Canis lupus familiaris: one gene and its partners. The protein of the gene in region 2 purifies or fractionates together with the protein of the main gene of each other region. This does not show direct contact. Links are inferred from orthologs where the notes say so. Each region holds a gene or a part of one and is shown on either strand. Other genes may lie near its edges.

The links.
Region 1: the proteins of MAP4K4 (region 2) and STRN3 purify together in Homo sapiens (affinity purification with mass spectrometry; 4 studies listed by BioGRID and IntAct, with this or other methods). This does not show direct contact. The link is inferred for Canis lupus familiaris from reciprocal best matches to the Homo sapiens genes MAP4K4 and STRN3.
Region 3: the proteins of MAP4K4 (region 2) and RAP2C purify together in Homo sapiens (affinity purification with mass spectrometry; 3 studies listed by BioGRID and IntAct, counting the BioPlex papers as one, with this or other methods). This does not show direct contact. The link is inferred for Canis lupus familiaris from reciprocal best matches to the Homo sapiens genes MAP4K4 and RAP2C.

Annotation. Positions count from the first base shown.
Region 1 is NC_049229.1:10,381,918-10,385,438, forward strand, and holds part of STRN3 (striatin-3), read right to left. Parts: intron 244-3,521; coding exon 76-243; intron 1-75. UniProt on the Homo sapiens protein: Calmodulin-binding scaffolding protein which is the center of the striatin-interacting phosphatase and kinase (STRIPAK) complexes.
Region 2 is NC_049231.1:42,160,815-42,164,335, forward strand, and holds part of MAP4K4 (mitogen-activated protein kinase kinase kinase kinase 4), read right to left. Parts: intron 3,226-3,521; coding exon 3,034-3,225; intron 977-3,033; coding exon 859-976; intron 545-858; coding exon 374-544; intron 1-373.
Region 3 is NC_049260.1:104,062,645-104,066,165, reverse strand, and holds part of RAP2C (ras-related protein Rap-2c), read left to right. Parts: intron 1-1,963; coding exon 1,964-2,242; 3' UTR 2,243-2,283; intron 2,284-3,521. UniProt on the Homo sapiens protein: Small GTP-binding protein which cycles between a GDP-bound inactive and a GTP-bound active form. May play a role in cytoskeletal rearrangements and regulate cell spreading through activation of the effector TNIK.

The DNA.
Region 1 (3,521 bases), on a different chromosome or scaffold from region 2:
TGCTTTGTCCTTTCTATCTTCCAAATTCTAAAAAAATTAGCGTTTTTTTTTTTTTATAGGGCAAAATTTACTTACCCTTGTCTCCATTGTAAGTGCAAATACATGGCAATTTTTCTTGTGGATTCCATAACCTAACAGTGCCATCTGCTGAACAAGACAGTAATTGATTTTTTATGCCACTATAAGCAAGACCCCAGACAGCATCTGTATGTGCAACTAAAGTGCCAGCTAGAACATTTGGCTCTGGGAAGAAACAACAAACAAACACAAATTAGCTAAAAGAAGTTGGAAAAAAATGTTTTGGATAAAGATAACTCACCATATAATTAAGTATAAAGACTACCCATAATGGTCATAAGAAGAACTGAAGTGGTCATCTTTAAATTGTGGAATTATGGGTTATTTTTTATCCCCACCATAATTCTTTCCTGTATTCTTGGAATTTTCTATAAAGAACATACACTTTCAAGAAACAGCTTTAATGAAATATAATTCCCGTATCACATAATTCACCAATTTAAAGTGTATAATTCGAGGGGGCACCTGGGTGGCTCAGCTGCCCAATGCCTAGCTTTGGCTCAGGTCATGATCTCAGGGACCTGGAATCAAGCCCCATGTTGGGCTCCACAGCAGGGAGTCTGCTTGTCCTTCTCCTTGTGCCCCTGTCTGCCCCCACTCTTGCTCGCCCTCTTTCTCTCTCAAACAAATAAAATCTTAAAAAAAAGAAAGTGTACAATTCAATGGCTTTTATTATACAATCGATTTGAGGACATTTCCATCACTTATTAGCCATTCCCACCCCCCACTGCCAATTCTTCCTGCTTTTCTGCAGCCCACATAACCACTAATCTACTTTGTTTCTCTAAGTTTGTCTATTCTGGACATTTCATACAACTGGCCTTTCGTGACTGGCATAATGTTTCCGAGGTTCATCCATGCTATAGCATGTCTCTCAGTACATGAGAGACATGCTATAACATTCTTTTTTTTTTTTTAAAGAATTTCTTCTAAATGCCAAATAATATCCATTGAATAGATATACTACATTTTACGTATCCATTTACCGTTTGATGGACATGGTGGCTAATAATAACACTGTGCACCATCTGGCCTACAATCCTGTTTCTTTAGAAAATTCCGACTTCCCACAACTATTTCTTATTATCTCCAGAATTTTCAGTTTCCAACTTCCCTTCTTCAGAATGATTATCTCTGATTATCGATTTCACTGAGAAAATACAGCAATGAAATTAAGAACCCCTCTCCTGTCTTTCCTCCACTCAATCTACTTACTAGTGTCTAGAGCCACCTTACTCCTTGCTTCCAGATAGAAGAACTGTCTACTTTCTTCTCAAATGATAATTCTATCAGGTAAATTCTGGATTCCATTCAACCTACTAACTTGCTTTCATGTTTATAGTTTCCCTACTATACAATAATTCTCCTTCTCCTTAGGATCATTACCACAGCAAACAAATATGCTCTAGAATCTACTGACTCAAATAAAAACCTTGTATCACCCTTCCAACAGATAGCAGAAGAGCATATTGAGTAAAATGCTTTTTTACCTTTCATTCACTCTCTAAATCAGTGTAACATGGTTTCTCATAGCATCACTACACCAAAATAACTTTTTTTCCACCAAAATAACTCTTGCTAAAATCACCAATGACAAACTTTCTTCTAACAAGTTTAATAAAATTTTTCTTTTCTTAGATTATTTATTTGAGAGAGTGAGAAAACAAAAGAGTAAGCATAGAGGAAGAGGGAGAGGCAGACTCCCTGCTGAGGAGAACCTGTTATGGGGCTCCTTCTCAGGACCCTGTGATCATGACCTGAGCCAAAGGCAGACACTTAACCGACTGAACCACTCAGGTTCCCCAAATTTTTCTTTCTTTGAACATTTCTTTTCTTGGTTATTCTCATCACATTGCTTTTCATCCAGAGTGTGCCTTGAAAAGTTGCCCACAGGTCCCTTCACCCTCTGCTCTGATCTTAGTCCCAGCATCCAACCTCTCGCTAAGACCCAGGTGACCTATTTGTCATATAAAAAAAAAAAAGGAACTTTGCTATCTATCCTCATATTAGACCTCTTAGCAAAATATGAAAGTGCAGATTGCTACCTTGTTCTCAAAATGTTTTTTTCTTTTGGCATGCTTCCATGATCCCACATTTTCCTGTACCTCCTCCTTCCTCACAGGCCACTCGTTCTCAGTTTTCTTTTTTTATAAGATTTTATTTACTTATTCATGAGAGACACACAGAGAGAGAGAGAGAGAGAGAGAGGCAGAGACACAGGCAGAGGAAGAAGCAGGCTCCACGCAAGGAGTCTGATAGGGAACTCGATCCCGGGACTTCAGGATTATGCCCTGGGCCGAAGGCAGGTGCTCAACCGCTGAGCCACCTTGGTCTCTCTCCTTCTCAGTTTTCTTTGCTGGCTCTCCTGCTCTAGTCACTCTCCCAATGTCAGAGTTCCTCCGTACTTGCCTTCCCTTTGTGCCCTGCACAACATAACTTCCCCTGTGTTATACAATCCATTCTCCTATCTTGATTATTAACTACTTGATAGTAGTAACCTGAACATGACTGAAATCTAAAGCCATCATCTTTAATCTTTTCACACCTGTTCTGCCCCCATTTCAATATGCTACCATTATATACCAACTGCTCATGTCAAAAAAATTCAGAAGTGGTGATAAAAATGTCCTGAATTAGTGGTGATGGATGCACAGTCCTGTGAATATAATAAAAACTACTGAACTGTATACATAAAAAAGGTGAATTTTGTCATGTGAATTATATCTTAATAAAGCTGTTTTACAAAGTAACAAAATTAAGAATCACTTACCCATCACTTTGTCCACTCAATCACTATCCACTTTATCACCAGATTCTGCCTATCCTATCTACTTCCCAGTGCATCCCAAATCCGTTTCTCTCCCAACCACTCTGCTACCAACTGCTTCACTGTCCTCATGACCATGGAAACATCACCTTTCACCTAGTCTACTAGACCCTTACACTACAACTTTACATTATAACATTATATTTGTATTCTTTTCTTCACTTTTCCCACCCCAATCTATTCTCCTTATAATAACCAGAGTCACCTTTTAAAATCCACCTTTACTGGTCACTTCCTGGCTTAAAATTCTTTATTAAAAGCTTCTTTTTTTTTTTTAAAATAATTTACTTATTTATTTATCTATTTATTTATCTGAGAGAAAGAGAGAGAGAGTGAGCGAGCGAGCAGGAGGAACAGAGGGAAAAAGAATCTCAAGCAGACTCTGTGCTTAGTGCAGAGATTGTCCCAGGCTCAGTCCCACGACACTGAGATCATAAACTGAGCCAAAACCAAGAGTCAGACACTCAAATGACTGAGCCACCAGGAACCCCTGAAGGTTTCCTTTCATCCTTTAGATTTTGTCTTAAATGTCACTGTTTTGGACTATATCTAAAGAGACTCTCTTTCATATTACTTTTATCTTCATACTGTTTATTACAATTTCTAACCACAGACT
Region 2 (3,521 bases):
GTCATGAAGAGCAGGGAAAAAATGTCAAACTGAAGCATTTAAAAACAATCCAATAGGCTTCTTCATTTTCCCTGTAAGTAAGGACCAAATCAAATGTCCTCATCTTTTCACTTTTTTTCTTTACATGAAGAAATGGGAGAGGAGTTTCCATTCCAATACCTGGTGGCTGAAAAGAGTGCAAGCACGCACATATACCTGCATGATTCTGCAGGAGAAGGTAACAAGGGTACGCATTACAGAAGTCTTCCAACTTATCTGTCTCAACAACTCTTTACAAAATCCCCCAACTGTCCAAAATACTACCTTCTCTAAAAGACCAGTCTACCCTCAGGAAAATAAAAAAATGACATCACAGTGGCCGTAAGATACCTACCCCATAAGGCAGCACACAGAATCTCGGAGTTAAATCTCTTCTTATATTTACGAATCTCCGGGGTATCACTCTGTGGCCTAGTGTTGGTGGGATTCACATTGACCACTGAGCCCTTCCGGGTAGGATCTTGCCTTATGGCTTCTGGTCTCATTCCATCACAGGAAAATCCCACTAGAACAGAGTACAATTGAAATTATCTTCTGTACACACAAATGCTGCATCTGTCTCCCTCTCCTACCACATCTAAAGTAAATATTCATATGCTATAATGTCAAGGAAAAGAAATTTGTAAGAAATGTATATGGAAAAGGGAAACTGACTATGCAGCTCATTGCAAGTAAAGCAATGCAAACGAGATGGGTGTTTCTGTATCCGAGGTCTGTGCCTGCACACCACCACCACGTCATGCCTAAGCCATCAGAAAGAGCAACACAAAGTGACCGAGTCCTATTTGTCAGCTGCTTTCTTGTCGCTGGTTTACTTACCCACAGAAGTCACTGTTGTCCCACTAGATGGAGAAATCTGTAGTAATCTGGGGTCTATAAAAGGTGTAAAGGAGGAGGAAGATTTGTGTTTCTGGAGTGTGCTACTAGCGGACTGAGTCTGCAATGTAAATTTCAATTTTATTAATACAAATGACATTAAAAAGATGAACACAAAACATTTCAAGCCACTTCTCTACTGCACAGTTTCCCACTAGCAAGCCCTGTCCCTCCTGCATCATTCCCCCCAAAAGCTCTCTGGGGGAGGGGGGCTCTGCATGTGCACAACACACCCCACCAACAGGCCGTACAACCTGGAACCACCAAAAGAGCTACATCTCTTTTCAGAAATACTGTTCATCTAAGACAGGAATGCTGCGAACTACCAACAAAATCTATATTTCACGCTCCTAGGTTTTTTGTTTTTCTTTTTAAGTAAATAATTAAAACAAAAACTCCTAAAGGAGGTTTGAAATGTCTATCTTAATTCATCAATTTCTGAATTTACTCCTCTGTCTAAAAGAGGCCAATTAACCTATGTTGGAATATTGGCAAATCTTTACTTTGTATTATTTAACGTGAGCCTCTTGCCAGAAAGCTACAGAAGCTTTGGCTACCACCGTTTTAGGTGCATCATCAGTAAACCCATATTGAACAGGGGCTCATTAGTGAAAGGTGCAAACGACAAGATATGGTACATACTTTAGCTCTTTTAGGAGCACTAGTGTTTTGGTTAATAGTGTAACTTAAGACAAAAAAAAAAAAACACAAAGAAAGTGAAACAAATTGTTAAGTGGAAATGTAATGACAATTAAAAACAAAACAAACAGAAAAATAAACTTGCCAGTTTAGTGAGTTAAGGGTTATAGTAAATACTGTACATTAGAGCAAGATGGAGCCAAGTTTAAATATAAATATAAGGAGAAATGTTGAGTGTAGGTGGCATATATCACTGGAGAAAAAAAGAACACTTCCGATCAAGTGCTTTAGTCCTGAAATCTTTCGCCCTCCGTGGGCAGCTAAAAGTCACCGTGTGCTAGAGCCCAAGCCTGCCCAGGTTCCCAGGCTTTCTCCTCCCACTGGATATAGCCGCCTGCTGGCAAGCTTCCCACCCTGCCCTATGACCAATGGCCAGTCCATCCAATGGCCAGTCTTATGCAAGCCCACCTTACTTGCCCCTGGCTCCTCAGGGGGAAAGAATTATATTCTGATTCTTTCTAAAAAGGGAACCAACACAGGAGCAGGTAGATACAGGCTGGGAGTAAATGTTTACATTAACAAGACTGGCTGAAGCTACGTGCCACTTTCAACCTCGTTCAACTGTTAGACAAGTGCATTTCAACCAAACTTCCCAAGAAATCAAACTGCTTGTTTTAATTTAGTATAGGGTGCTCAAGGGGGACTCTCTCACTGCACTGGGGGCATAATCTTGTTCCAAAGAGCAAAGCATCACCCAACTAGTACCCAGACTGAGTGAGCACCACAGCCAAGCCTTCAAACGAGCACACAGGATTTCCCACTCAAAATTTTAAATTAAAAGCATGCTCAGATCTTTGCTCTTAACACCCTAATTTTCTAGATTTCCCTAAAAATCATTTGGCCTTTACTTAAACTCTGAGTGATTGCAAATAAGTCCTTTTTAACAGAGTGGGTGAAAACAAAGGATTAACCAATCAACAATCTTCCCCCATCAAAAACAAAAAGCAACCCAGGCCTATTTGAAGGAGATTCCTATAGAGGATAACAAGCGTGTCCAGATAAGGCCAAGTCAGCTTAACCAATTTTTTCTGTATTTTATTTTTCAGATAAAAAGAATCAAAAAAGCAGATTCCACAAAGGACTACAAGAATTTCATGCCAAATACATAATGGATCTGAGAACACAGCATTTTATTTAGACTTTTATAAAATAAACTGAATAAAGAAGCCATGCAACTACACTTATCTAGAGAAAAGTAAACAGTGAACTGGCAAGTTGGAGGGACATTGATCTAGGGTTACGGGATTTGTATGCAGATCTGAGACATGTTACTTGGGGTTGGGGAGAAGGGTAGGTGACAGAAGAAAGCAGGTGGGGAGGGAGGGGTGAGGGGCGTGGGAAAGGTCTCCTCTGCAAACTAACTACTAGGCAGTGCTGGTCAAACCCTAGGAAAGCAGCCAGCTGTGGTGCGAGACATACCTCATTAGTAGTGAGCTTGTCCTGGGGTGTCTGTGGGGACATGGTGGGTGTCGGCTGGCTGGAGGATGGGGAGGAGGAGGTGGAGGAAGTGGAGGAGGAATGGCTTTGCTGTAAGAGATCTGGCAAGAGGTGAATGCGACCGGCAAAGCCATTGCTCTCATGATGGCTGGCGCGCTTTTGGTCAACTGTACTCTGTAGAAAAAACAGGCACACTCGTCTCGCTCAAGCGCTGCTGAAATTCCCTATGACCCTACTGATAACTGACTTTAAGGTGCTGTGTGACTTTTCAAACTCTGTTAAGTTATCAAGGAAAGACCGGAGGAAACTGGCCGGAATTGTTCACACTTCCTCGCCAAATGCCTCGCCTGAGCCAACAGAATTCAAAGTACCTCATCTGGTGGCCATGGGACTTGAGCAGTGACTACCTAATCTGGTTTCTCTGCCGCACTAGCTATTGTTACCAAAACCACTCGCCTTTTTTTTTTTCT
Region 3 (3,521 bases), on a different chromosome or scaffold from region 2:
ATTTTACTCACCTTGGGGTGTGTGAAGGAAAGTTACTAACTGAAAAGATTATTACCTAGAATTAATAGCCTATAGAAAGCTACCGTGACTCTCCTCTTCTGCAGTTGATCCAAGTTGTTTCTGATAACACTGACTATATTTAAACAAAATATGTGGATCAGAGAACACCGGACAAGTGCAAATTTCTAACCCTGGCTGGGTGGCCAAGCTGGAGGTGGTCCAATTTCTTCTGAAAAATCTGTCCTGTCCTTCACTGGGAGGCAGACCGAAGGTTTAACATTATTTTAAGAGATGCAGTAAATGTTGCTATTTATTCCTTGAAAATAAATAACCTCATATTGACCCATTGTATTGACCTCCATTGATTTAGGAAATGGATAGTTTTTCTGCATTTAAAGGTATGAGCTTAATGTTGCTTAAGAGACATTAAGTGCTTTACCAAATACAATGTGCCAATTCCACTTCGTATTCAAATTACAGTACTCTAGTGAAGTTTTCCAGTAACCACATATAGCTACTTCACGATTTTTTTTTCCTTTAAAGAAATGAGTATAGTGACCAAACCAAAGTACAGTTTGTGTGGGTTTGAATTCCAAAGCAATAGTAGTATCATAACAGCATTTCCCCCCCAGAAAGTACCAAAGTATCAAAGGTGCTATTTGACAGGCATTTTCTTTCTAAAGGATCCTCAAGAGATTTGTTATTCTATTAGCTGACTCTCTTGAGGCTAGAAGTCTTTTGAAGGATTTTTTATATGATTTCCATTATATATGCTGCTGTTTTAGGCATAAATACGAAGTGAAAAACTGACATTATTTCAACAGAGACAAACTCTTTCAAGCCCGACTATCATAAATTTGGTTTCTCATTTGAACTTGTGTTTCAGTAAGGACACGGGGAAAAAAGCTTAACCTAGAAGATCAAATTGATAACATGAGCAGACAAAATCGTTGCGAACATCAAATGGTGTTTTCATACATATTCACAGTCCTCTGCTTTTCCTCCTTCCCACAAGTGAATATTCCATTTACTGTTAACTATTCAAATTAAACACGTTTGATATTTAAGTCAAACCTTTTAAGTCATAGAAAATTAAAAATATTGTGAAGTTAGTATTAAATCTATAAAACTGCCTTAAATCAATACTCCCCACCCCACCCCACCCCCCGCCACTAAAGTTGATGCTACCTGAGAATCAGCAAGGCTCTTTTTATCAGTTGTAATTAGAAAAAAATAATACACTTGGGGAGAAAATTCAAGTTGTAAAACCTAACTAGGCAAAAAGAAGTATGACTTTCTCCCTGCCCAGACTCCTCCTAGGTGTATTTGTCCCTCCCAGGAGCTGCTCACCGTTAATTTGGTTTCTAGTGTATTAAAATACACTAAAATACCTTAAAAGGTGTTTGATTTTACTGGGATGAAGGCCTACCATTATATTTAAAATGAAATGTTTAAGTGTATAAATCTGTTTTGAATTGGCCTTCTAGGCATGACCCGGTGTTTTTGTTGCCACCTGAAACACTTTCTCTCAGGCACTCTTGCTAAATGGCTAGGAATGCCTAGATGCCACAAGCCTGTGGCAGGATAACAGGTGTTTTCAGGAGTGCTGACAAGCTGGCAGGTTTAAGGCAATACCTAAACATCCTTATGTACAAATGAATTCATATTTGGGAACTTTTAAAATCAGGACAGACTAGGGGAAAGAAGTATGAGTCCTAAGGTTGGTGTGTGCAGCCTACATTTTATATTCTTGACAGAAACCCAGCAGGTGGGATCTGTGGAAATTATCAAGCTCCTACTTCAGTGGAGAAAAATGTTTATTTTCTCCATTTAGGTATATGGTTTTATTTTGGAGTCAGCTTTCTGTAATCCCTGAGGGATGACTTTTTGTGATATTATAATACTTCTGTTATGGTCATACAGACAGCATAATTTTATTTTCTCTTTGTGATTGTTTGAATAGGATATCAAGCCCATGAGAGATCAGATTGTCAGAGTGAAGAGATATGAAAAAGTCCCACTGATCCTAGTGGGAAATAAAGTGGATCTGGAACCAGAAAGAGAGGTTATGTCTTCAGAAGGCAGAGCTCTGGCTCAAGAATGGGGCTGCCCTTTCATGGAAACATCGGCAAAAAGTAAATCAATGGTGGATGAACTTTTTGCTGAGATCGTCAGGCAAATGAACTATTCATCCCTACCCGAGAAGCAAGATCAGTGTTGTACAACTTGCGTTGTCCAGTAAAAAAAAAAAAAAGAAACCTCAATCATGGCCATACCGAGCAGGTTAGTTGTCAGTGGAAACTTATGAGTCCAAGAGTGTTTTGATTTTGATCGAATATGACAAAAAGCTGGTTAATATTAATACACATTGTGCTACCTTCAATTTCCTTATTTGTTTTTAAAATAACATTTCCCTTAGCACAAAATAGTCACCATGCAATGAAGAAAATAGAGATAAGCAAAATGAAGGTAAGAGATTTCCTGTATTCCTATCACTAAGATATATTTTTAAAAGTGAATTAACTGTTCTCTTTCTGCTTCATTGGTAACATTCCTTTGGGTGGGGTGAGTTAAAGGATAATACACCTTTTCCCTGTTCTAGTGATTTCACACATCCAATAATAATTTCAGAAGATGATTGGTTTTATGTTTTCGGCACTTTTCTGTCCCAGGCTAGAGAGCTGCTATAATTGAAATCATCAATTTACTAATCACCCAAGTGCTTGATTTAATAGGATGATTATTTAATCAAGTTCATCTGTACCTTGCACTTAAGAGATTTAAGTGACCTCTGATAATAACAAATTGTAGTGCCACAGCTTACCTTGACTTCATTATGAATATATGGTCCAATTGAGAATCTGGTAAAATCATCTGTGTTGTGTTAGAAGAGACACACCCAAGCCCAGGCAACGTTTTATTCAGTTTAATAAATAATGGAGTTATTAAGAACATTAACAAGACCTTCACACCTTTCATTGAGTTGAATGATAACTTCATAAAAGTTTTTTCAGATGAATGAGTTTTTGAAAAAGCAAGGTTACATAAGACTTACTGAGCATTTTAAATGGGATTCTTTTATTCATATCATGATCTTTTAATCTAGATTATAATTGGACAGATAGTCTCACTTAGATAGTAACCCTTACATAACAAGATAAAACAACCAATATCCTGGATGACTGTGAAACCACAGCAAATGGCTGACTAGCCTGACAATCTCAGGACTGGAATTGATTGTTTTGAGCCAGGACTGACCTCAAGTCTAGGAGGCAGTGTTGCAAATGGCAACAGGCATTTCAGATTGCAGTGATGATTCCTAATCAAAGGTCTGGCTTTATATGTGCTCCCTGAAGAAAAGAGTAACCATCCCTAATTTATCTTTTCAGACAGATACTGTCAGGTACTGTTACCTTTGAAAATGAAGGATGACAACAGTGCTTTATTCAAAATGCTTTCACACATCAGCTATTTAGCATACTGGAATATGATGAAAACACATTTATTTTCTAATACCTGGC